Drosophila melanogaster: one gene and its partner. The protein of the gene in region 2 interacts with the protein of the main gene of each other region in a pairwise test. Each region holds a gene or a part of one and is shown on either strand. Other genes may lie near its edges.

The links.
Region 1: the proteins of CG5662 (region 2) and CG9393 interact in a two-hybrid assay, tested with the Drosophila melanogaster proteins (2 studies listed by BioGRID).

Annotation. Positions count from the first base shown.
Region 1 is NT_033777.3:9,561,083-9,572,237, forward strand, and holds CG9393 (uncharacterized protein), read right to left. Parts: upstream 2,592-11,155; 5' UTR 2,441-2,591; coding exon 2,354-2,440; intron 2,255-2,353; coding exon 2,108-2,254; intron 2,014-2,107; coding exon 1,735-2,013; intron 1,489-1,734; coding exon 1,093-1,488; intron 1,030-1,092; coding exon of another isoform or gene 988-1,029; exon of another isoform or gene 920-987; coding exon 845-919; 3' UTR 501-844; downstream 1-500. Other genes in the region: MBD-like (Methyl-CpG binding domain protein-like), read left to right, coding at 1-330; Vps45 (vacuolar protein sorting 45), read left to right, coding at 2,944-3,036, 3,100-3,298, 3,350-4,782; CG16789 (uncharacterized protein), read left to right, coding at 5,142-5,381, 5,474-6,474, 6,529-7,437, 7,500-7,670, 7,724-7,898; CG16790 (uncharacterized protein), read right to left, coding at 8,169-8,505, 8,567-8,908, 8,961-9,058; CG9396 (uncharacterized protein), read right to left, coding at 9,401-9,667, 10,051-10,091, 10,150-10,297. UniProt on the Drosophila melanogaster protein: Involved in transport of proteins into the mitochondrion. Essential for embryonic development.
Region 2 is NC_004354.4:15,202,988-15,219,005, reverse strand, and holds CG5662 (uncharacterized protein), read right to left. Parts: upstream 8,621-16,018; 5' UTR 8,551-8,620; coding exon 7,672-8,550; 3' UTR 7,539-7,671; downstream 1-7,538. Other genes in the region: CG32588 (uncharacterized protein), read left to right, coding at 12,451-12,612, 12,688-12,837, 12,916-13,116.

The DNA of each region.
Region 1 (11,155 bases), on a different chromosome or scaffold from region 2:
TGGGAGAAGCGACTGGAACGACTACGCGCCTGCCACGACAGTGGCGAGGAGCTAGACGACATCTCACTGCCCAAGACCATACGCACCGTTGGCCCCAATGTCAACGAACAGACCGTCCTCCAGTCGGTGGCCACGGCCCTGCATATGCTCAACGCCGGCGTACACGGCCAGAGTTCTACGAAGGCTGATTTGACCAAGAATGCCATGGCGTTTATGAATCCTGAACAACCGCTAATGCACGCGGTGATCATTTCGGAGGACGACATACGCAAACAGGAGGATCGGGTCGGAGTTGCGCGGCGAAAGCTGCAGGATGCACTCAAGACATGAGTTCAATGGTTAACCCCCATGCATCTACCAATTCCATTGTAGGCTCTAACATCTCTATCGTATTGACCCCTATTCGAAATCTACATTTAAGACTAGTGTGTAATAAACCAAATCCAACTCCAATCGAGGAATTCTGGTTTCTTATTGGACATCGAGAAAGCTTCGCTTGTCTTTTCCATGACAACAGGGCTCTGTTATCCAATTTTATTACGCTCAGATGACTTTAAAATGCTATTTTATACAAGACAGTTTAAAAACGAATTCGAACTATAATACATAAACCGAATTTTCATACTTAGTCGATTTGTTTGGCAAATCCTTGGAACGAAGCGTTATCTACGACGAGGGGATCATTACCTGACGAAATTTTCGGTCCAAAGATTTATGGCCAAGTAAATCGATCTCCTTCAGTGTTTAGGTAAACCTTTAAAGCTGGACAGTTTTTGTGCTTCATCCCCACATTGTATTTTAAAATATATATACTATACACATAGATATCGTTGCAGAGATGCGATTAGTCTAGGCCCTCCTCCATCTCGTCATCCTCGTAATCTATGCCATCGTAGTCCGTCGAAGAGCGTGTCGTTAGCTGCAAGGATGAATCAATCGGAATTTGCAATTAACTGAGAATTTTGCACGTGCTCAAGCTGAGGCTGTCTACAAGAGTGTCTGGAGCCAACAGAAGACATTGAACCAGAACTATCGAATAAGCTCCATCAAGTCAAGAGTAAAGAACTACAAATTTCAGCCAAAAATACCCACCTGGTTGTAAATCCCACGCCATGCCGCAAACGCTCCCATGGCCAAGACGGCTCCCACGCCGGCTACTATTTTGGTGTTCAGCTCGGAGTCTAGGAACTTGCGCTCCGAGGCCGTCAGACTGGCCTCCGTGCCACTGGGTGTCTTTGTGAGCTTGACGGAACTGTATCCCTCGATGCGGAATATGTCCTTCGTGATGCGGTTGATAAAGTTCACTAGGTTTTGGCAGCCCTTAATGTGATTCTGCAGTGGATTGTTAGGCAGTGCGATCTTAAAGATGATGGCAAGATAGCTGTAGACAATGGCATCAAACTCGCTGTAGGTGTCGCCAAAGAACCACACCTTGCGACCCAATTTCCGGGAGAGCAGGTTCACCACTTTTTTGGCATTGACAACGAGCTGTAAAGTAAAATGATTAATTGATAGTTAAAGAAACGTCTTGCTTTTCACAACATTGATAAGATATATTGATAACAAAAGACCAATACATGAGAAACTGTTTCTTATTAATATAAACTGATGAAACGTTTCCAATCGAAATGCAGCTTGGGTGTAAAACATAGGTTAGATAAACAAATTAAAAAATCCTCGGATTTAAAGATACAATAATGTAATATGAGACAATATGAAATTGAAAGCACTCACGTAGTCGCCTTCGTGCTTGTCCAACTTGTCGTTCACATCGAAACCGGCCATCACCTGAACCACGTCGCAGGCTTCCCTTTGGTAGGACGACGGGTAGTAGAAGTTGAAGGGGAATGGCGTGCGCTTGGCGTAGAGGCCCCGCGTGGTTGTGTCAAAATTGTGAGGCTCTCCAAACAGGAAGTAGTGGTAGTAGGCATGCAGATTGGTGAACACCCAGTTGGCGTAGGCGGTGGACAAATGCTTTTGTTTAGTGCTTAAATGCGCATCTATCGGGTAACCCTGAAAGAATACGTCGAATTAAGCCCATAAAAAAACACATATCTATAAATAGAGCCTGCAGTTTGTTCACCCCGGCATTGTTTTGCTCACTCACCTCGAGATCCAGCACGCGCTTAATTTGCCTATAGCCCGCGAACTTCTGGTTGCCGATCTGCAGATACGGCAGCTTCCCGGCTCCCGAACGCAGCGGATTGGAGCTGGTCTGCACGTCCATGGGGCAGCGGGTGAATCGCAGGAGGCACTGTTTCCGGCAAAGAGGCGCTTTCATCAGTTTCTTTCATCATCTGCGATAATGGGCAAAACAGGCGTGCTGGCCGCCGTGTGATGCAACGGAACTTACCAGAGCACGTAAACATTCAAAATCTATGGACGGCAGTCCGTACTCCCCCTTGTACACATACAGCATGGCTCCCAGTTGCATCTCCATTGTGTCCTAGTCTATGCTTTGCTCGTACTCTTGTATTTAGCCGGTTTTCAACAGTCCACCTGCATATCAGCCATCCGAATTTGAATCCAAAAATATATGCCAGAATTTCTGGCCGACTGCTGCGAGTGCTTCAGACTGATAACTACTGGGCACTCGATATATCGCTCGAGCATATCGGCGCTTTATCGATTGCCGGCCAGGGATGTTGCTACTCGAAGTTTATTTTGGCTAATGAAAAGATACGGAATTATGTTTGAGCTTAATTGCTATTTATGTTTATCTTTATTGCTATTTTTATTATACTACCAAAAAATTGTAAGTTTTTATCTATATGCATTTTTACATATTCACATTATTTTACATTAGCTAGATCTAGCGAATGTTACCCAAATGTTTGGTCACCGCTGTTATCACGGAGCTATCGCAATTGGGGCATCTCCAACCCATCTGTTTGCGAAAAAAAACATTAATTTCTGATTTTCGCAGTAAATTAGTTAGCAGTCATGAATCTGATAAGCGGCATTAAGTTGTACATCGAGAAAATGTGCTCCGAGTCGGGACCGGGCATGAAAATCATTCTGCTGGACAAGGAGACGGTAAGTGCAAGGACTGACAATCAAATCCCCTGCCATATGATCAAAAATTCACATCATTCGCAGACCAGTATAATTTCGATGGCCTTTAGCCAATCGGACATGCTGCAACGGGAGGTGTACCTATTTGAGCGCCTGGACTCGGGAAGATCCAACGAGCGGTTAAAGTATCTAAAATGCATCGTCTTTATACGCCCCACCAAGCAGAACATCCAGCTACTGGCCAACGAGTTGCGGAACCCCAAATACAGCGCCTACTACATTTGTAAGTGGGTCAGTAGAAGCACCTTCGGAATAGTACTAAACTCATAAATAGATTTCAGCAACATCATTCCCCGGACGGACATTAAATACTTGGCAGAGTGCGACGAATCCGAATCGGTGCGAGAAGTGAAGGAACTGTATGCAGACTACCTGTGCGTCAACCCCAATCTGTTCTCATTAGGCATTCCCAATTGCATGGCGAATCTTAATTGGCTGCCGGACGCTCTCAACCGCAGCATGCAGGGCATCACAGCCGTGCTGTTGTCCCTTAAGCTGAACCCAGTGATCCGGTACCGAGCCGGTTCTCAGGCAGCGCAGCTTCTGGCCAAGCTCATATACGAGCAAATCACAAAAGAGTCCTCGCTATTCGACTTTCGCTCCAACATGGATGGCGCTGCGCCACCGCTGCTGCTTGTGCTGGACCGCAGGGACGATCCTGTGACGCCGCTTTTGCATCAGTGGACATACCAGGCCATGGTGCATGAGTTGCTGCACATAAAAAACAATCGATTGGACCTGTCCAATTGCCCCAATGTGCCGAAAGACTTCAAGGAGCTGGTCTTATCCGGTGATCAGGATGACTTCTATGGCAACAACATGTACGCCAACTACGGCGAAATCGGATCTACCATCAAACAACTGATGGAGGAGTTCCAGCGCAAGGCGAACGACCACAAGAAAGTGGAGAGCATAGCAGACATGAAGAACTTTATTGAGTCATATCCGCAGTTTAAAAAAATGTCTGGCACTGTGCAAAAGCATTTGTGTGTGATTGGAGAACTGTCGGCGCTGAGCAACAAGAGGAATCTCTTCGAGGTTTCCGAACTTGAACAGGAGATCGCTTGCAAGGCGGAGCACTCGGCCCAGCTGCAGAGAATCAAAAAACTAATTGCCGACGAACGGGTTTCCATCGATGATGCTCTTAAGTTGGTGGCACTTTATGCATTGCGATACGAGCGACACGCCAACTGCGACACATCTGGACTGCTGCAAATAATCAAAACGCGCGGTGGACGAGCGGCTATAGTGCCATCGTTGATTGAGTATGCTGGAACCCATGTACGACAAGGAGATCTCTTCAATATGGTGCGGATAACGGACGCCGTAAAGCTGACACGGAATTTGATTAAGGGCCTTAAGGGTGTGGAAAATGTCTTCACACAGCACACTCCTCTCCTGAAGGAAACTTTGGAGGACGTGTTTAAGGGCCGCGAGCTGGATCCCCTCTTCCCGGCCATCAATTCAGAGCTTGTGCCATTTCGACGACCACCGCAGGAGGTTGTCGTGTTCATTATTGGCGGTGCCACGTACGAGGAAGCCTTAGCGGTGCACCAGTTAAACAACGCCGGCTATAAAGTCATTCTTGGCGGCACCACCATCCATAACTCGCAGAGTTTTATCCAAGAGGTCGTGGCCGCCACTAGTGGCATTCAGTTTAAGCACACCAAATCCATGATCAAGTACTGTTCCACGGATAACATTTAAAGTCTATTTTGACTAGATAGCCCCAATTATATTGTTAACTATTTATTAACTAAATATGAATGTGCATTATGTATTAAGGTATTCCATGCATTGTACCAATTCAAATCCATTGGACTATTTAACCTTTTAAGCGTAACCATGTAAACATATTTATTGTTATTCTCGAGGGTAACACCAGGCAACGCCTTGGACAAAATGTATTATATACAACTATGTGTGTACAAAATTACTAAACTCTCGTTGTCCTTGCAATAATTCCACCCCGTTTCGGCAAAAAGTTCCTTGGCAACTCCCAGGCAACGTTTCGTTTGGCTCAAACAAGAATCTGATTTTTCATTGGAGGAGTATCATTGACCATCATGTCCAGCACATATTTCAATGATATCTGGCACCAATCCCAGCATGAATGCGAGCTTCTATCCACGATTGACTATGAGAGGCAGCACCAGGATGTGGAGACGACGGTGGCCACCATGAATGCAGCGGTCGGATCCGTCGCCGCCGATGCGGATGCCAAGGCCTTGCTGCAGTCCAGTCTGTACGAGTTCTATCTGCGCTACATATGTCTGAGCAATCGTTTGGAGGATGTCTATGATAATGTGGGTATACGACTTTCTTAAACAAAAGTGGGATATATATAAGGAGATGATATATCCTTTGACTCTGGTTTACTTCTCATCTTTCATCATAGATGATTCAGCCTCAGAAGCGCCAGTTGGTGCGTAAATTACTAGACGCCTGTCTGGGTCGAGTGGTGGAGCTGAAGCACGATCTCGTAAATATCGACTTGATGGAATTTAGCTACAACGACGAGGTGGTGGAACGCCTGCGCCTGACGCCCATGGAAACGGAGCTGAGGATACCACGCTACTTTCTGCGCGAGCGTCAGCAGGAGCTAGAGTTTCGAAAGAAGACCATGCATGAGATCCTAACGAAGCTGGGTTGGCTTGAGGAGCACGAGCTGGAGGAGACGGTTACCACCGAGATCGAAGCCATTAGGATGCTTCAAATGCACGAGCGAGCGCGACAAGGACGCTTGCGTGCCCACTTCATGAAGGAGATTCGCATCCTAAAGGAGAAGGGCAAGTCGGAGGAGCGCACCGAAAAGGAGCGCAGTGACTCTGGTCTTTTGGCTGCCATGAAGATTCAGAAGATGTGGCGTGGCCACACAGCCCGACGGATAACGCGGCGCCGCAAAATGGAGGAGATGATCCTAATCGGAATGCTGCCACCACCGCCGGCTGTGGTTAAGGAACGAGCCGAGAAGCTGGAGAAGCTGCAACACAACGAGAAGCGCTACCAGGCGCAAGCGTTTTACGGCAAAGAGTTTGAGGAGCGACAGAACGCACTAAAGGAGGAGATTCGGGCCAAGCACGGAGCCAGCATGAAGGAGGACATTGCCGATGAGATTCGGGCTTGGGTAAAGGACTGCTACGACAAGACTGGCAAGCTGCCGGACTTTCCATCCGAGGATCAGGGCGGCTCATTGCATATTTTCAGCAGACCTGGAACTGAGAGCGAGCACAGCCGTTCGTCGGCCCGCTCCTCCAAGGAGTCGCGAAAGACCAAGGATAAGTCCAAGTCACCCGCTCGCAGTGGTGACCTCAACGTCAACGAAAACCAAGACGAGGAAGTTAGCTTCCAGCCGGCACCGTCCGTTTGCCTGCCAGACATCCGTGCGGAGATCGATCTGTGAGTAAAGATATATAATAAATTGATCCAAATTTAATCTTTTTACAACTTCAGGTTTAACGATACCTGGCGTGATAAGGATGAAACCGGTGTGCTGAGCCAAGCGGCCTATGAGGACATGATCTACAGCGACAAGTACCAGGAGGTGGAGCTAGAATTTCGGCGCGCCGTCGACGATGTGATGCGCCAGGAGATCGAGCTGCTCCAAACGGCCGTCGGCAAGAAGGTGAAGAAGAGCAGCAAAAAAACTCGGCGATCCGGCAAGAAGAGCAAAAAGAAGAAGGAGAAGGATCTAACGCCGGATCGCACTACGGAGTCGCTGTACGAGGAGCTGGTCACGAATGGCATAATCCGGAAATACCCGGAGCTAAGGCTAAAGCAATTCCTGGGCGATAAGGCGTTGACTGCCAGGATTGGCACTAATCCCTCACCGGGCGACATTCGCCAGATTCTCACGGAGTACTGCATCCTTCCACTGGGATCTGATGCCATACATAACTGTACTCCACTGATACGTTCCATCCTGTTAGCTGGCCCCAAAGGATCTGGGAAGAAGGCACTGCTCCACGCCATTTGCACGGAGGTGGGTGCCGTGCTCTTTGATCTGACTCCTGCCAATATTGTTGGCAAGTATCCTGGCAAATCGGGACTGATAATGCTAATCCATCTGGTACTGAAAGTGTCGCGACTGCTCCAGCCTGCGGTGATATTCATGGGCGATGCGGAGCGGCCCTTCATGAAGAAAATTCCAAAGACGGATCGCACAGATCCCAAGCGACTGAAGAAGGATCTGCCCAAGTTGATAAAGAACATTGCGCCCGAGGATCGCGTCGTTTTCATTGGCACTTCCAATCTGCCCTGGGAGGCGGATCAAAAGCTATTGCAATCCGTCTACAATCGGTTCATCTATATTCCACGACCGGATTACGGCGCCATGTCACATGCCTGGAAAACATTGTTACAGTGCGTAAATGTGGGGGATTCATTTGCAAAATAATCTACTGATTTGGTTTGCACCCCGACAGCGATTACTCTGGTGGCATTTCCAATCTGGACACCAGCGCCATGGCCAAAATATCAGATGGCTATACCATTGGGTCCATCGATGCGTGCCTCAAGGAGGTGATGACCTGCAAGCGGAAACTCCAGCTGCGCACCCAACCATTGACCAATGCCGAACTGATCAATGTTCTGTGGTAAGTAGATTTGGCTATGAAATTAGTTAGTTGTTAGTTTCCATGCCTTTCAGCTCACGAGATCCCGTCTACCGCGAAGAGGAGGAAGCTTTCGAGTCCTGGTGGTCGAAGACCCCGCTCGGCCGCCGTCGTCAGCGGTTTTTGGAGCTGGAGGAGGAGCGATTACTGGAGGAGCAGGCGCAGGCGGCCAAGCAGGGAAATGGTAACAAGAAAAAGGGTCTTAATTAAAAGGTAATCACTGGACTTCTTATATTTAAGCCTAATTTGTAAGGAAACATCTTTGGATTGCTAATGGTAACCATTCATTCAACGCTATGGCTTGCTTTACAATCTTGCTTTTATTAGCAAACTACAATTTATATGTTCATATATATGAGCTAATATGGAACAGATTACATTTTTGATACCTAATAAAGTCAATATATATTTTCCACTACATTCCAATTGAAAGATCAGCATGCATAAATATTTATGATTCAGTTAAAGACTGGCAATATCCTATTTCAACGAGTAGGTAAAATCCTTGTTGCCGCACTTTAGGTGCACCTCATTGACCGCCAGGCAGAGTTTGTCCTGATCATCAAGGAGCTCTTTTAACTCCGTGAGCTTTTCGTTAAGCAGTGTCTCCTGGTCGCCAACGCACCAAAGAAGGCTGACGTGGAACGAGGCCGGATCATAGAACTGTTGCAGCCGGTAGTCGAGCATCACTTGGTCGATGGGCTGCAGAATGGCAGTCATCTTCTCCACAAATGCAGCGTCCAGGGGCGCAGCAATGAAGGTCCTGGTTCGCTCCTCATTCGTGTAGATCCGCAGCCCCTGCAAAGTGGCGGCGAATCTAAAAGAGGATTGGTCATCAGGATGGGAGATACTAGATTTAACTTGGTTAAACATCTCACCCCGCAGAGCTGTTGAGGGCGCTTTGCAAGGATCGGGAGAATTCATCGATCTGATGGTACTGCAGCACCACTGTTCGACTCAGGCTCAGATGGAGCGACTCGTTCGGCTGCAGTTCCAAGTGTGGCTCCAGACGAGCAATGGCCTCCGTTTGGAACTCCTCCAGCTGGTCAACACATGCTGTTGCCGGCACATAGACGTAAGTGGCCCAGTTTCCCCGTTCATGCTTGAAACTACGCATGCGGCCGCCATGTTCCGCGGGATCATCCACCACATCCTCGACGAACTCCTCGGGCTTGGGCTTCTTGGGGCCCAGCAGGGTGGCTGCTTTGGGTAGGGCCGGTCTTTGGCGGTTATAATGTAGAAATCTACGGGTATTCCAGTAAAGGACGTTACCTTTTCAAGGTGATCAACGCGGGAGTTTGAATGTTTTCGGTGCAGTCCTCATCCTCGGAGGCGGAGGAGCTGCTGCCACCATAGTCCACCAGGGCCATATTATTATTTATTTATGTATTTTTATTTGATTGCAGTAAACAAGAAATGACCAACAGCACAATGTTCGGCGGTTTTTATTTACATTTATCGATTAAATTGAAAGTGATGTGTATTTAGCTTGGTTTTAAATTTATGTTGATAAACTATTTTGTTTTAAGCAATTAAATTGCAATTAATAACATTAAAAAAAAGTTATAAAATTCACTTTTAATTATTTAAATAGTACTTATTTTTTTAACATTTTTTTACTGTAAAATTTCCACTTTAAATGTATTGACCGTTAAAGCCTTAAAACTTGTTTTTATTTAGACTAAATCCATTGAAATGCACAAATTGGACTACTACAAACTGGCTTCAATAGCCGGGCATTGCTCGCCATTTTTCTCCAGCCTCGACTGCTCCCACTGGTAGTTGTAGTACCTACCCAATTGGAAGAGCTGCGTCAGACTCACGAAGAGATTAACCGCGAACAAGCTGTAGTTCTTGGGAATGATCACCAGAGAGTAGCGCGTCCAGATGAGGTTCGTTGCCCCAAGAGCCAGACATCCGTTAGGCGAAATCTTGTCCGCAGGACGCGTCAAATCACTGAGACCCGCGATAACGAGGCTCTGTGGTGGAATATAAACGGAATGGTTGCGGAGATTAGGGAGATCTGGCCGATAGTGCAGGGTAAGTCCCCCCATTGACTGCAAATCTGAATAGCATGTTGGCAAAGCTCCCCCCAGTCAAAACAGTAAAAGTATTATGAAATATTCCATGAGCCCCACAAACCGCACAATCATTCAGTTATCAGAATCTCGCGCGTGGAGAGGAAAATGGTATATAAGTACATATATACATATTTATCGCGGGCTTGAACAGGTTTGCCGAGAACTAAACAAATAATAATAAAACACAATATTCGCCCACAGGTTTGTTTATCAGTACGGTGATAATGGGAATTGGCTAAGGACGCAGGGTTCATGGTTATGCAAGTAGTGCAAAAACTTACCCACTTAACGATTGGAGCCCAAAAGAATATGGTCTTGGGTCCTGAAGGAAAGATATGTTAGTTCCTCTCTGTGCTTAAAATGCTTCTATTTATGATCACCTGCTGGGTGCATCCACAAGGGTCGCATCTTGGGGGGCACATACTTGTCGCAGGCCTTGATAAGTCCATTATATGCCCTGGAGTGAAGACCCTTTCCGGCGGAAGCTGCAGCCGTGGGCGCAGGTGTTGTTGGAGGAGTGGCAGACATTCCGGAACGCTACTGTTTTTCCTATATTTTCCAACGTCCAACCAATAGCAGATGCACAGAGTAACTGCTGGTCAGGTTTGCGAATTGAGAGGAATTCTATATGGCCTACCTGTAATCAAGTATTTGTTGAGTATGGGCTGATTGATTGGAAGCGCTGGAATAACAATCGCCTGGGACTGCGATAAACCAGTTGGGAAGTAGTGCTCCTGAACAAACTGAGGCACAACAGCTCCAACCAGGCGTCCATCTACAACTGAGCTTTCCGAAAAGTCCGGGGTCCATGCACATATGTTTATGTTTCTCTAGTATTATTAGCTTAGCGCTCCTGTTATCACCAGCACTATCAGCCACTGGAATACGACGACGCCAGCCCCTTTTTTTGCACTTTGCTTTTGCCGCAAAACTAATATAAGCTCTTAGTTATATTCTCCTTTTATTGGTTTTTAATTAATTTGTGTTGACTAATTGTGTAAAACTCAACACAGTTATCGAACAGCGAATGTGCAAATAGATTCATCACACATGGCGTATGAGTTATCTTCTTGATAATCCGGTTTTATTGCAATCTAAGGATTTCTACTCTTTTGCAATTATTGTAATAACAGCTCATTTCATTTAAATCAGTCAAACATAATTGTATTAAATCAAAGAATAAGATATTGATTACCTTTGCCTTTTGGATATGTTTTCCTAATTTGGCATACTTAAAATAATACTTTTAAGAAAATATCTTTTAGCCAGTTTGGTTCATTTATATTACTGAATATAACCCATTGTTGGGCCACCATGTTGGGCCACATCCACTTTAATAAAACGAACAACTACGTTTATCTAGTGACTAAAGTCTTAAAATGTATT
Region 2 (16,018 bases):
AAATGCTTAAAATATGTTATGTGGCTCTATCATTTTAGTAATTTGAAATCTAAGCCTTAAGTGCCATACCTTGCCACTTCTTGTACATATTTTTTAAAATTACAGACAATCTTATATTTTTATAAGTTCCTATATAAAAACATGCCACATTTTCTCGCAGTGCAGGCCAAGCCTTTGGCGCTTCCGCTCCCATTTCCGCTCGTTGGCCGAAAAGTGTAAACAATTAAATTTTAATTAGAATTCGCATCGCTTGACATGCGACATGGAAATGGACGAAGGCAGGAAAATGTCAGTTGCCAGTTGTGTGGAATGGAGGGTGGGGGCTGGATAGCTGCCTTGGATAGCTGTCCCCAAACGGGGGCAACTTAACCCACCTACGCCACAGTACCACCCACTTAACCCACTCACTCACCAAAACCGCACTTCCGATCTCCGCCACCGACGCACAGACATTTCATTTCCGTTCTCGTCTGCTTCTTAATTTATTGGTCACCTCCAGAGCTCCATACCCAAAAATCCAAGAAGGCCCTTCGAATGCCGAATACTGAGTACTGAACATACCAACCACCCCCCCCCCCCCCCACACCCTTCACCAAGCCACCACTTTTTGACACCCCTGCTGTGCGACTGAGGTGTTCGAAAAGTGCTTGTAAATTAAACGGCTGACAGTTAATAGAAAACCGAAAGCCTCTCATTTGGCACATTTGTGGTGTGTGCTTTATATACCCCACATAAATATGTATGCTACCCTATACCCTACCCTATATATATATATATAGCTACTTGCCAGTTTGATGGATTGCCGGCTTAGTTTTAGCCAGTTAACTGCCGCACTCGACAATTTATGCGCCCAATTCCTGAAGGTGTCGAGACCCATAAAATATACGAGGTGGCAAGCGGGCCAACTCAAATTTTAATGCCCAAATTGCGGCTAATGAAAATGTCTAAGAGTGCTCGGATGATTTGTTGATTTCCTTCGGTGGCCTAACAAGGCCATAAAGATTACGGGTCAACAAAAAGCAAATAATACATGGCCAAAATAAACGCAGTACAAAGCCAATAACGACTCTGTTAGCCATTAGGGTGATCCCAAGTTGAGTGGACTTAAAGAAAAACTCAAAGGAATAAGCTAATATTCCAATTGTTTTAAGCATTATCTTATTCCTCTATATATAATAAGGTGTAGAATTGACGTACTACTTACAATATCACTTATACGCAGTGTTGACCCTTGCTATAGTTAATTTGTGGGCTGTGATTCCAATTACTTTAACTTTGACATCTGTTAACATATTTCGATATGTATTCAAGGTCGCATCACATTTCGAACAGAAAGAAATCTTTAAATTTGAAAATTCCGTTAATCATGTATCTTAATGGCCTTCATTCATATTTGGTTTATATTTAATTCGGCTTATATCGAATAAAATGCTAAATTAGCTCCTAATCTCAAAATATAACTTATATAGCCCGAAGGCAAACGTGCATACATCATATGCAGACATTATCGCCACCAATTTAGGTGCACTTTTCTATTTGCTTAGATTTATTGACAGCTCTATTCCGTTTAACCAGCTTCCCTCAACTCTGTATTAGCCGCACTTTCAGATCGGATCCGGTGAGTTCCGGTGCTAAACCGAGCAAACCCGTTGAGACTTCGGTGCTGTCCCGTCTAATTTGGTACGGCCCGCGGTTCCGGATGACAGTGCAAATCGCGGCCACGTTCCAGCAACCGGGTTAATCCAAACTGTCGCCAGAGCTGGCAGGCTGACGGGTCCGGAAAACGGCGAATGGAGTCCGGAGTTGACCCAGTTTACGGCGAAGTTATGGATCACAATTTCTGTTTTCGGCGGAGGGATGCGGCGCTGAGTCCAACGCCGAAAGAAAGATGGGGAAGAAAAAACGGGCCGATGTTTATGGGAAGCCACTAAATTTCGATAACAATAAAATATGATTTTTGCCTGGCGAGGGGGAAATCAAATAGCGGGTGTGCATGTATAAAGAGAAAACACGAAAAGAAATTAAGAAACTGGCCGGAACCCGAAAAAAAGGACACCAAGTCACTGGGAATCTGGGTTGGCGTAAAATAAACAACAACAAATATGTCTGTATATAGAACAAAAAAAAAAGAAAATAATATCAACTCAACTTTAAGCTTTGCACACAGCGAATTTCCAATGCTCTGGTATGCCAAGGAATTCCTTTCAACTGGGAATGTGAAAAACACGAAATGCTCCAAGCTGCCCAATAGCGTATATACCCATGCCGATCAAGGATGCACAGATCCAACAAAGCGCAGAGTAAATATTACAAAAATGTATTACACAAGGCTTTCGGATAGGCGCGGGTGTGCCGGAAAATGGAGAAAAGGAAAAATGGCAGACGTGACAAAAATGCTTAAGTGAAAAGTTACGAGCGAGCGGCGGAAATCGCTCCCCTCACCCCTCCCCCCCTTCTCTCCCCACAGCATCATTCCTTTCGTTTCTTTACTTTATTTCGCTTGTTTTCCCACTGCCCCTCCCGGAAAACTTGTTTCGCGCACTTCGTTTTCCCTACCCCAAGTTTTTTTTCGGCAGCGTTACGTTTTTGTTTTGCTCTCGCAGCTGCTTAATATTTTCTTGTTTACGCTTTCTTCGTGAAAAAAAGGGGAAAAGGGGTGCACTGGAAAAAAATATTATTTTATGTATGTCTGCATGGCTGGGTTATCTTACCAGCAAAATGACATTTCTTGCAACTTTCATGAATAAAATTATTGCGATTTCTGTGCACCCTTATTAAATATTATTTTCGCAACATATTTTATTTATTTTATTTTAAGCATTTACATTTTCTCGCCGTGTGGTTTTTGGCGGTGCGGGGTAGCGGCTGGTACTGCTGCTGCTGGTGGCGCCCCACTGTTCATCATCCCGTGAGATGGCGTTGCGGGTGGTGCTGGCTGAGTGGTTGGCTAGTGGGTGTTGGGCGGTTGGGCGGTTGGGCGGTTGGGCGGTGGATGTCTGGTGGCCTGCTCCTGGCTGCTGTCAAACTTTTCACGCACGCCCGCTGCCGACGAGCGATTTCCCGGGTCGCACGGGTTGAAGACGCGCGCGCGCTCGCAAATCGATTTCCGCTTCATTACGCCGCCGCTTATGCGACGCCCCCGGGCGGCAAATTCAGGAGCGGATCGAGGGAAGCGGATGTCGGCGGCCCTGGGAGCACTCCAAATCGTATCAATCATCTTTCAGAAACACTTTGCACGCCCACGCATGCCATTCACAAGCTCAAGGAGACATCGAGTAAGATGTGAGATCCCGGAGACCTCGGGCACAGCTCCCCTTTCCGCCCTCTCTCCCCGCCCCCTACCCTCCCACCGCCCAACAGAAATATTCGAACTCATATGTCAGAGACAAGACCCGCAAATTGTTTGTTTACTTTTGCATGCCATTCTGCCATCCATCCACTCGAAAAAAATAAACAACCAGCCCCATCCACCCATCGTTTGGCCTGTTATTTCAGGCCGCTTTCATGTCATTTTTCAAGTTTACACAAAATATTTCAAGTGTTTGATGTCTTTTGCACCCGAAGCGCATCAATTTCCTTCTTCACGCCACCCAACACTTGTCCACATTTTCAGTTGGTTCCGATTCAGATACGGATACAGATACAGATACAACTAATGTTTCTTTTTTTTTTGTTGGCGCTGCCAGCTGCACAAGCAACTCAATTAAAATGTAAGGCAACCGCAAGCGGCAGCGTAAAAAACATATAAATATGGCGCATACGCCGCGTAAATCCATAATTGCATTTGTTTGTTATCGCCGACGCCACGTGACCAGGTGGTTGTGGGTGTTTTGGGGTGGTTGTGGGTGGCTTGGGGTGGTTAAAGGTAGTTGGCATGGCTGCTTGGGCGGTCACAAGGTGGATCCAATAACAACAAGCCAGCCAGTGTATAAACCCCATGTATCCGTGGCTTTCGCCACGTACCGATAAACGATTTCCCCGGCTAAATTGCCTTACGAGAAATCAAAACATTATTAAACGAATCTCATAAATAAATGATGCCTACGGATTACGGACGCAAATCACTGATGCTTTCCAATTATCGGGAATTTGTTACCGCATTCATTAAGTATTTGATCATGATGATCGGTTTGTATTTGTTAGTTATATATAATTATTTTATATAGAGGAGGGTGCTTGATTTGATTATTTAAGGATTTCAAAGAAATATTTAATATTGATTAAATTATGATTGTAATTATAAATACCAAGCTTTCGTTTCTTATTATCGCTCAGGCGTTTTCCAGGAGATATCCCTTTTCAGCAGGACCTCTGGTTCAGGATGTTTTTATATGCATTTCGTTGCATTTCCACTTCAATTTGAACGTGCAATGTGTTTTTAAGCACTCAACAGGGCGGTTCACAGGACGATGATGAAAGTTGGGGGTTTGGGAATTAATGGGGGCTGGACTGCCAATGCCGCAGCCCCTCCCCTCCCCCCTGCCAGTCTTTTTTTGGTGGCAACAATTGCCAAGTGCAGCATGATGATTGCCACTTGAGCGGGTTTTCCGCTGAGTTTTCTCTGCTCGCAGTTTTTTTTTCCTTCTCGGATTCTTTTTTTTTCAACCACTGAAAGCGGCAACAATTTTCCCCGCCCCCATGTGTGGGTGGTCAATTATTTGTTGCTACTTTATAAACTGAGACCGCTCTTGATGTAGCTGCATAAATTGAGACGGGGTTTTTGTTCGCTTTTCAACCGAAAATCATGGCTTTGAGTATGAAAATCGGAAAATCGTAAAATCACAACCTAAGAACACGAGGTGCAAACTTTTCATATAAATTACACGCAATAATATTTATTTAAAACTCTCTGCCGAAAATCCCGCCCATTGTTGTCGCTGTGGCAAAGCGCAATGAGCACACAAGCACCTGCTCAGGAAAGCAGCCGCCAGTCAGTCGATCCAAATATTTTCGGTAATTTGAAAGTAATTCGTTTAAAGGAATTTACGTGATTTGCCTAACAACCGAAAAAGTCGTAGAGCCGGCGGTCCAACGAGTAAGTGAGTGAGTGGCGCTTGGAGCCCTGCGATATTGAGTTGTTCAATGACACGCCATATTTCCTTGGGCGGGTTAATATGTGCGCCGTTTGCGTGCCACAGAATTATTGCCTAATCACTGCACTGGCTCCTTTCTGGCCTGGCCACGATGGGCACAAGATGCTGGTGGAGTGGTGGGTCGAGATGAATGGAGCTGGCAAAGGAGATAAAGATGTGGATATAGATGGACTAGGCCATCGTGCTGCGACATCGGTGACCGAGCAGCGGCGAAAGTAGCCGCAAGGAAAACTTTCTTCCCTCAGCCAATTTGGAGGCAAAAGAAAATTTGTAGGCTATAGAAAGTTTTGGCCCAAAGCCCCCCCCCCACTTCTGACCAAGCCATGGCGCAGAACTTTTCAACGTATAAATGCTGGACACTGTGAGAAAATTTGCGGCGTTTTCAATGTGTAGCCTAAATTAAATATGTTTAACAATATAAACGATTGAATAATGGTAAATAAATAAATAGGCTGAAACACTCTATTGATCTGCGATTTTATTATTATTACTACGATGGAAAACAGTTTTTTAAGTGCACATCTGTGTGTATATATCTTAATGCATACCTACTGTGTTTTTTGTCTCGTTTAGTCTATCTGTTGTTTAGTGGCCCTAAGGCAGTCAGTTGGGCTGGTGGGGGCGTTGGGTATGGTTGGGGGCGTTCTGGGCGTCTGGGCGTGGCATGTGCAAAAGTTTTCGCAAAAAGCCCGGCTACCAAAATAAACAGCCAACAATGGCAAGTGGCAGCGGTTAAGCTGACAGAATGCTGAATTTGGTATGCTACAAGGATCTGCAGGATAAGGCGCTGAAAACTCGAGGCCAACGGCAGAGAAAGTCGCTAAAATTTGGGTGGACGGGGATTGGATGAATCGAGAAAAGTCGAAGAAAGTCGGGATAGTCGCTCAGCGACTCTGTGGGAGAACAAAATGAAAACAAATTGTGTTTTATATACTTTCCATTAGGGTTACTCGGGCGAGCGGAAGATGCTAGCTGAAGGTCGCTGATGATGACGGGGACTCCTCGGATCCGGATGATGGATAATCGGGCGACGCAGCTCGGAATAAAGCGATAAAGCACAACGTGACGTAAAAGTTCAGGTTGAGATGACTCGAGGCCCCAAGTGCCGTGGTTATTTGAAGGCAAAAGCGATTGTCTGCTTACGGTTCTATTGAATCAATAAAGAACAAATTGACTGAGTTCCATTCAGTTATAAACATCAAGTGAGTAATGTCCGGCGATTAGAATGAATTCACTAAGAACTTATATTCTTAAATGCGTCTTCAGAAGTTCAGAATCAACTATTTGCATGTAAGAGGTCCCGGGCTTAAGTCCCGGCGTCTCCAGTTTTTGAAGAATACTTTTTTTACTTGTTGAAATCGGTACTGAAATATATTATTTTATATTATATTTTTTGTATGTCGAAATTTAAATATTAATCCATTCAAATCAGGTTGGCACTCGAAATGGGCCATGTATTTTGGCAACGGAGTGTGCAGCCAACACTCCAAACCGGAAGTTGGGCGGATGCGGAAACAGACGAAAGGGCTGAAAATGGCCGGCAGCAAGGATAATGACGATGCCGTCTGATGTCTGATGCCTCCCACTCCGATAGCAGAACGAAAACGGGTTTCAAAATAATGGAGATAGGAATGGAGATGGAGCTCACGCGCTCATTGACGTTGAGCAACGCTTATTGGCGTACTTAATCCTTTTGGTAAATTCCAATAAATTACCAAGTCCAGGGACAGCCATCAAGGACAACGAAGATTATCCTCTGGGAGTCGTAGCAAAGGCAAAATGCACAAAAAAAAAGGAACAACGGAAAAAATCATCAATAGGCCATGATGAGTTTCTGATTGCGAAACACAAAAAGGGAGCCAAAATGGTAGGAAAACATGGGGAGCTGGCTGACAGCGGACCTAGTCGATGTCGATGATGGTTCCCTGATTGTCCGAACGATGCGGCCATGTCACACGGGTTAGCCGGAGTACTGAAGTCCCGCAGACCCGTAAACTCTTCTCCCAGGGAACTCTGCATTGAGATTGGTGACTTTGGGCCAGTCATAAAATCGAACCTACAAGTCGAGGGCGAACTTAAATTGAATGCCAGCCCGCGCCGAAAATACTGCCTAGTACACTCGAAATATAAAAGAGGCCAATTTTTTCGCAATAAAAAAATTAGATTTTTATGACTCGCCAGTAATGACTCCACATTTAGAAACTATAATTGCAAATTTGTAAGTGTAAACTTCATTATTACCGGGATTATTCTAAAATGAATATCTAATTTAAAAATTGCAACAATCATTTATTTTGGATTTACTTGCTTTCTATTTGTTTGATTTCTTTACTTTATTTTTTCAGTGTTAAATGCCTTGTCTGTTGCTGTATTTTATGGCATTGTGCGCTGGCTTAACTCTGGTTCAAGTTTCCCCGTGCCACACCCCATGCAAAACCCACTCTTCCTCCGACTTGTCTGCCGTTTTTATTGTAAATGCTTTGCATATTTTTGATTGCCTTCCCGACCCTGGCCAAATAAAAAAACAATAAGAATCCTTTGTTCCGGGGCAGAGGGATTCCGAGTCCTGCCCTTTCCTTTATTCTATTTTTTCCAACTCCATCTCGTCCTCCTGCTCCTCCACCGCGCTGGTCAGGAGTTTGCCATCAAACAGGCTCTGATCGATGCGGCGACAGTGGGCCAATAGACGTGGATATGTGGCCAGAACCGCGGCCAGTTCCATGTTGGGAAGCTTGGTGGTCATTATGGCTACCACATGGCCAAAGACCAGGGCGTCCAATTTGCAAGGTCGTGAGCCGCCGAAATAGCTCTTCGCCTGGTCCTCCTCCAGTTCAGCGATCAACGCATCGGCACAGATGCTCACCTCCTGGATTACCTGGTCGTTGTCCAAATCCTGCCACCGGTAGACCTTCAGTATCTTCTGTGCGTCCTTCTGCTTGGCAAACCGGCGAATCGTACTCAACGGCCACGGATGAGCGGCTGCACAGCGCGTTGCCGTGTAAAGTTGATAGTTTACCTCATCCACAAAACTCATATGAATCTCCGCCAGGGTGAAGACATTCTCCACATAGCTAACCAGACAGCGGATGTTATCGCGCTGATCCTCGGACATCCAACTGTCCAGGCAATTGCCGCCTTGCACGGCCTCCACTTGGGCCACTATTGGCTCGAATTCCGCAAAAGTCTTGACAGGGCCCAAACGGAGCAGCGGCAGGTGGGTCAACCGGCCACCTGGTGACATAAACTCTGCATTGTCGCTGATGTGCTCCGTAAATGGTAGGTTGCACATGCGCAAAAACGTCTTCACCGCCAGGCAGCTGGAGCGCTCCGGCAACAGGAGCTGATTCGCCTCGGCCGGCTGATGCAGGTGGGCGTCCGCCGGCCACGCCTCCTCCGACTTGCCCTCCTCCGCCGACGACTGCATCAGGGCGGCGGTCAAGTTTTGTTCCAACTCCATGCTTAAAGTGCCGAAAATTTTGACTGTGGGTTTCTTTTTATGGAATTGTTGAAGTGACAATTGTGGCAGTGATGGCTATATTAATATTTTCATATATTGTGAGAAAGAATTTTTGTTTACGTTTCATCAGTCAACTTTTGAGTACATTACTGCTAGAATTCGGAATATTATAAATGGGTTGCAAATAAATGTTAAATAAAAAATAAAGAATCTTAAAAGCAAATTCTTCCACAATTCAAATAAAATAAAAGTAATGCATTGTAAACTTACATATATGACTTTATAAATTTCAATAATAAACGCTGTAATTCCCACCTAATTAATATGACAGGAGCCAACAATTATTGACGAAACTTACCTAATTTTCGTGTCTGATTTATTTCATAATTTTATATTTCCAGAAATTTCCCTTGAACTTGTTTACTTTCAGTTATGTCTATCCATTGATTGTTTTTTGTTCATGCGTACAAGCAGTTGTTAAGTGAAAGCAAATATATGGCATTTAAGCATTTAATTAGTCTGCAATGAAAGGCATTGAAACTTGAAATGTGCAATTAGCAACGAATAAATGTGAAAGCAAATAAACTATACTCGCAATTAGGCAAATAACTTGAAATCAAACTGACAGAGAGCAATATTCCTACATTGGACTTAAAGAGCTGTCTGCCTTCGTTTCATCGTTGACAGGATTCACTTTTCCACAGAAAAATCAGTTGTGTGCTTTGATGATGGAAATGTTTTGTGAATTTTCTGCTCGACTGGACATTCAAGCAATTAATCATCGGCCACCGCCCTTCCACATTCCATTGGCACCCCCACCAAAAAGGTTTCGGCCCACTCGCCGCCAAATTTTTTTTCTACTACCGCCCGCTGGTTTTTGGCCGACAGCCTCGCGGGAACTGGAACTGAGGATGATAAATTGCTCGGGCGGAGCATTATGCACAGTTTTGTGGCTCCTCTGATCCAGGACTCGAGTGCTTCCGGAAATGAGGCAAAAGTTTTGGGCGCTCTCTATTCGAACGTTTCATGGATCATCAGGTACGAGAAGCTGGCGGGCTCTCCATGATTGCTAATTGAATGGCCTTGATGATACAATACATCGCTACACGGAAAGAAACTCGAAATACTGCACCAAATCGAAAGTTCTAATTTAACAAAGAAACACTTTAATGAAATATCGAAATAATAATTAAAATAATTAATAATAATTAAGCCCGTTTACCATTTGTTTTGTATTGAAATGTTTATTTTAAAACATTTTATTATACTTCTAGGCAATGCTATTTGAAATAACCAATCTGACTTGCGTTGACAGCTGTGAAAATTGCGAGCTTCGATTGACGGATTATCCCATTTTGGGCGGACGCCTTGGACCTGATTAGTATGCCCGCGAAGTTCGAAAGCCGAGACTAATTTAACGCCAAGTAACGAATTTTGGATGAGAGTTTTTGATTTACCAGCCACGTTACTGGGAAATGAAAGAGTAAATATACGAGGGCCGTGGCGTTGTCGTTGATTGATTCGGTCGAGGGCTACTGGGAATTCCGTCCAATCCATTGACAACCAAGTCGCAAAACACTGCCAAATTAATTAAGCCACACAGAGTAGGCACTTCGGAACCGAACCAGTGATATCTAGCCATTGTGGGTTAAGGATTCACGATGCTCGGTATGCTCGGGATGGCAAGGATGTTGGCCTGGTTGAGACATCGTTTCGGCAACAAAAGCCAACAAAAGGCAACAATTCTTACCCACTAATAAAGAATAATATGACTGCCATAAAACTCAATTTATTACCAAAATGTCGACAAGCAGCAGACTTTTGTGCGTATATGTGCCACTGTGTCTTATTCGCTTTCTCCTTTCTTATTTTGTGTGTGTGTGTGTGCGAGAGTTACGACCTACGGAGAAAGGAGGTGAAAGCAGAACGAATGACGTACGGAAGTGGCAAACAGCAAAAGTTTATGCTGCCATTTTTGTTTGGCAATTTTCTATTTCTATTTCAATTCCAAGGCGTCGTTTTATTTGCATTTGGTGTGAGAAATGTGTGCGCGACTTGCGACCCTAACTTGCCCTCTTACTTTATCGGCGATACCCTGTAATATCGAGTGATGTTATTTTCGGTTTTAACTGTTTTAGCATTAGTTTAATTAAATATAATACACATATTGTATAGTATTTGCAGTGTATGTGTAAATGTGTATAAGCAATGCAAAAGTATAAACATATTCATAAAACAAGGAAATTTAAATTGTGTTGAATTTAGTATAGTGTTTACATTTTGATTGCAATGACTGTGAAGCACATATATGTACATATGTACACAATACCTGTTCATCCAACAACTTAATTAAAAAAAAGTAATACTCCAAGTTAATAATTATTATTTTTTTATTTTACTTAACCCTTAGGGTAAGTCACGTGTTGTTCCACCGAATTTCTTTGTACCATCGTTATTCTTGGCTTTTAACGTAATTCTTCTGCAGGACTCCCTAGCTCCTTTCCTTGTCTTCTTCTTCCTTTCCTGCACTCGTTCCATTTTCATCCTTGCTGTGCAATTTTATTTGCTATTTCGGTTTTGTGCTCCGCCATTCCATGTTGCTGCTTGTCTTTATTATTATTTTGTTTCTACAGTTGGCGATTTGTTGCTTTTTGTGTTGGTCGTTGGACGTTGGCATTGTTGGATGTATTGTTGGCCATCTCTGAATTTTGTTGGCCAGCTGTTGGGCGCACTTCACCCGGCCGCTTTGTGGCCACAATTTGGCGGAGTCCTTGAAAGGAGGAGGTGAATGGTGAAGACAATCCTCGCTCTGGACGCCGCTAAATAACCGTTTGGCTGAGCTAATCCACGGCCACATTGTCCATTGTCTGGGAAAGATAAGCGGCCATTGGACGTTTGGTAGGACAGTGGGACACCAACAGCAGATGGTGTGGCACCGGGACTCGGACAAAAGGGGAATCGTTGCCAGGACCAGGACATAGATAAGGCCATACCGCTCTACCCAGATTTCTGCAATAATAAATTTATAAAAATATCTATAAGCTGCCCCCAAATGTAAAACAACATACAAGTTTTGTTCTTTTATTAGTCTTGGGCATGGTTTACACCGCGTATACGTAATGTGAGTAACACTGAGCTTTGAACATTTGTCATAAGCCACGTAGTCCGAACAATCTACCAGCCAAGTCAATCGTTTCTTTCAGATATCTGCTTATTGAACAATTTCTTTTCCCCAGACATCCAGGCAAATGCCAACTGCAATGTTCTGGAACATTTGCGGTTGTCCTAATGGAACCATTACGTCCCAGATATACATTAAGTAGGATGGTGAATGAAATGGAAAACCTTTTATGTTACATTAAATTTGACTGCGTGCCGAGTGACAGTGTGGTAAATGGGTAAATGGGGTAAAGGGTCGGGCTCTGTGTCTCCGTGTCTCTAGGACTCCAAGACTCCGTTTCTGTGTCCTGGCTGGCGGGCTTGTCAAAGTTGTCGCAACATTGTGGCGCTGTCAGTGTCATTGTCGCTGCAAATTATGGCGGCCTGAATGCGTAAATGATGCTTAATTAACATTTACCCAGATTCCAGCCATGCGAAAGCCATGGAATGTCGACGGCGCGGTGTGTGTGCGGTGTGTGTGCTGTGTAGAGTGTGGTATGGTGTGTGGAAGACCCGGCCAGAAATTGCCAGTTATTCGCATTTTCAAGACAAAAATAAGCTACCAAGAAGAAGGCCAAGTGTCCTTGCACAGCCAGCGGGAGTAGTTGGCCATGATTTAATGCCCAAATCGTTTTCGATTTTCATTCATTGCCTTTCAGTCAGTCATCCCCTTTGACTTGAACGAAGCACCTATTTATACATTCTTTTATAAATTTGGAAAATTTATTTGTACATTTCGGCATGACATTCTTCGAGCAGATCAGTGATCACTTTTGCCGCGTTGTGCACACCAATCTCAAGATACCTCTATCATGTTGCGAAAGGCGCATCAACTGGAAAATCTCGAAAAGTATCGATTTATTGGTATTCTTTTATACCCTCAACATCGGTGTCCTTCGATTGGTGAGTAAATGGTAGCCCTTTATTTAATGGTGGGCAGCAAGTAAAGGACTAATTGCACCTAACCAAAATTCGTAGTTAATAAATTTTATAGATTTCATGATCGTTTTCTTCGGATGGCCAAGCAATCTTTTGATTTTAAAGGACTTCAATTCGCGGCGCTTTCGAGCCCTCACACACTTTTTACTGGTGAGAGCGTACATGCTAATGATATACTCCATTGTATTTGTAAGTACAAAGATTTACAATATGTACACACTTATTGTACCATTGTAATAAATTACTGCAACCATTGTTTAAATCCAGATCACTCCGCATAAGAATAATATCTTCGTTCCGCTTTTTGCCATCATCATGACCATCGATGTGTATGTCATTAAATTAGATATGAAGCGACGTGGATTGATGCCTCTGGAGCGCAGTGTGCCCCCCCTATGGGAAATATTGATCAGCTTGTGCTGTGTTGTTGCCGGGCAATGGCTGCTCAAGTATTTGATCTTTCATTAGCGTACGGATTTCATTGTAATGTTTTGTTCGCCTTATAATTGCTTTTTTTCTGAAATATACATTGAATACATTGTCACTCCTCTAATGCTGCATTCTCAATTCTTCACGCGAATGTCTGTGGACTCCTTGCGATGACTGTATAGTCTCGATTTGACAAATGTTTTCATTTTAATTTAATTTTGCTGGCGACAACTTTTTAATTGCCAAGTGGCGAAAAGGGCACACATTCGCGATAAGTGTTACTCTTTTGTTGGCAAGTGTAAAAGTTGTGAATAAAATTACACAAAGTCAGTCAAAAAGTGGTTAGTATTGGCAATTAGGATGTAAAAACTATGCCTTTTTTTAACGGTTTGGCCATTTTTTTAATCTTGAAAGCCATGGAATGTGGAGGGTGCGTTGTACTCGCGTTTTCAAGCCAAAAATAAGCAACCAAGAAGGAGGCCAAGTGGAGGAGCGGGCAGGAAGAAGCTGACAAAGTGGGCCGAAAAGGTGAACCGGAGCACATTGCGAACGGAAAGATTGTAACAAAGCCACAAATGGATGCTACACGGCGAAAAAAGTCGACGAAATTGATTAGAGATTTGAAGAAGAAAGATTTGGCAAATTCAACAGTATTTTTGGGTAACATTGGTAGCTATAAAACTAAAAATTAAAATGTATGTAAACATATATAAATATAATAATGATGTGATATAGAACTTATTTCTTTAAAACTCAATTGCACCTATTGCAATAATATAATCATTTCTTTATCACAGTTTTTTCTGTGTATAAATGCAAACGCATGCAGCTCCACAAATAAGTTTTCGCCTTGTTCGGGTTTATCGGCACTAATTGCAATGCCGAAGAGGCATAGGGAACCCCTTTCGCTTGACCCTAATTAAACCATAAGTCAGATTAAACCGGGCTCGCAGCCCTGGCACGCACTCATGAAAATCACTTAGCCGAATTAGCCGGGGAAAAACGAGATGCTGGCCAGGCCAAAAGCGTGACGAGACGAGGCGAGCCGGGACGAGACATTACGTCAACGTCAACTATGTGGCATTGCTCTGTCCGCCCAGAAGGAGAAGTGGTTAAGGATATGGCGGGATATATAGATATATGCGGAGAGGGTGGTGAAGAGAGGGGGTGGGTCAGCCGTAGGCGGGAAAGGACACGCTTTTAATACAATTAGAGCGCTTAAGTTAAGTGCTCCCAGACTACGCAGATGGCCAGATGCTCTGATGCTCTGATGTTCCTCCGGCTTTTCCCCTACACCGATCTCGGAGCCAATGGCACTTTAAGTTAATGGCGTAAGCACAAACGACAGGGGCGCCCCCAAAAGAGGGCTAAAGGAAAAGGTGGTAGGGGAGGGGGGGGACCTGGGCTGGGTTAACAACAAAGGATTGAACTTTGTTAGGGACAAGCGGTAAATGAAATGAACTACAGGTGGACAGGAAGTTGGGGCTGGTTTTGCTTTCGGTTTAGTTGGGGATTGGGCCAGGACCACTTGGGTTGGCCCAGGTTAAGTTGGGTGCCAATGAAAGCACGAACGAGGCAATAAATAAGAAATAACATGGCTCAGGAAGAGTATGAGGCTCGCAGATGCCCATTACTTTTAAAAAGTTCATTTGGTAGAGGTTTCAACATTTATTTCATTGCAATAATTGAAGTTCATTATCTAAACTGTTAATTGAATACTAAATAATGCAGTAATATAATATATATACTATATCTGCCAAGAACCAGTTCCCGCAGAATCATTTAATTTCTCAACAAAAGTTAAGTTTGCACGGCACCTCATTTCCCAGGGTATCATTTTGACGCGCTCTTCGTCAGCTTTGCACTTGGACCAATACCTACGCCCTGATTAGAGCATTGTGCCATTGACTAACGGTGACCCAGACGGTGTCGACTCCACTTTCAAAGGAGCACCACTTGCCCACTTGCGCCACCCATAATCCGCCAGCCATTTGCCATAATCATTGTCGTTGTCCGCGTCGTCTGCTTCTGGCATAGTGTTAATTGAAAATTAATGGCGTGATGGCAAAAAAAAAAAAAAACTAAACATGAACATTTTCGCTGACTCGCCACCGCCAGGTGGAGCCAGTTGAGCGGCGGAGCCCGGGGAAAATGCGTTTGAAAAACTGTGAAAAAGCGCCGGGGAATAATGGGTAACTGGGGGTCGCTGCTCTGAAGTGCTAAGCAAATTAACATTTCCATAATTAAATGCGGATGACGTGGACAAAGGGTGCAAAAGAATGTAATAATATATACAATATATATATATATAAAATAGCCATGTATATATGTATGTATGTACATGAGTTAAAGGTATACATGGCGGTATAAAAAAGAAGAAGAAATTTCAGGCCGTTTTTAATTGTGATTAATTGCGAATTTCTTTGCCCTCGTCGTCATCTGGTCTTTTTTCCCAAATTTACCACCCCTTTCCGCCCGCCATCTACATACATTGTGCAGAGGCGAAAAAAGTTGCGTGGGCACGAGGCGTGGCACATGGAGCAGATGCCAACAACGGCGACAATGGCTTAACACTTTGACCGTATTCCAATTTTCCAACCCACACCGAGAAGTGAAGGTTAAATTAAAATAAGTAGGCAGGAAAAAGGGTAAAAGCATTAAAGATGGGCCAGTGAAATAAAGTAGAGTGAAGAAAATTAAGCAGACCGACTAGAGAATAATAAACGAGTAATAGGATACAAAGGAAACAAATGATAGAAAAAAGAAACAAAAAATAATTGGTATTTTGTTTCAAACATGAAAAATAATGGCCCAAATTTGGAAAGCCATATCCCCAATCGACTTGCATTCAAATTTTCAAGGCTCTTTCAATTTTTCCCAAATTTTGATGATGCGAAATAAAAATTGAAAATTTTTATCTTTTAATGCCAATCGATTGTTG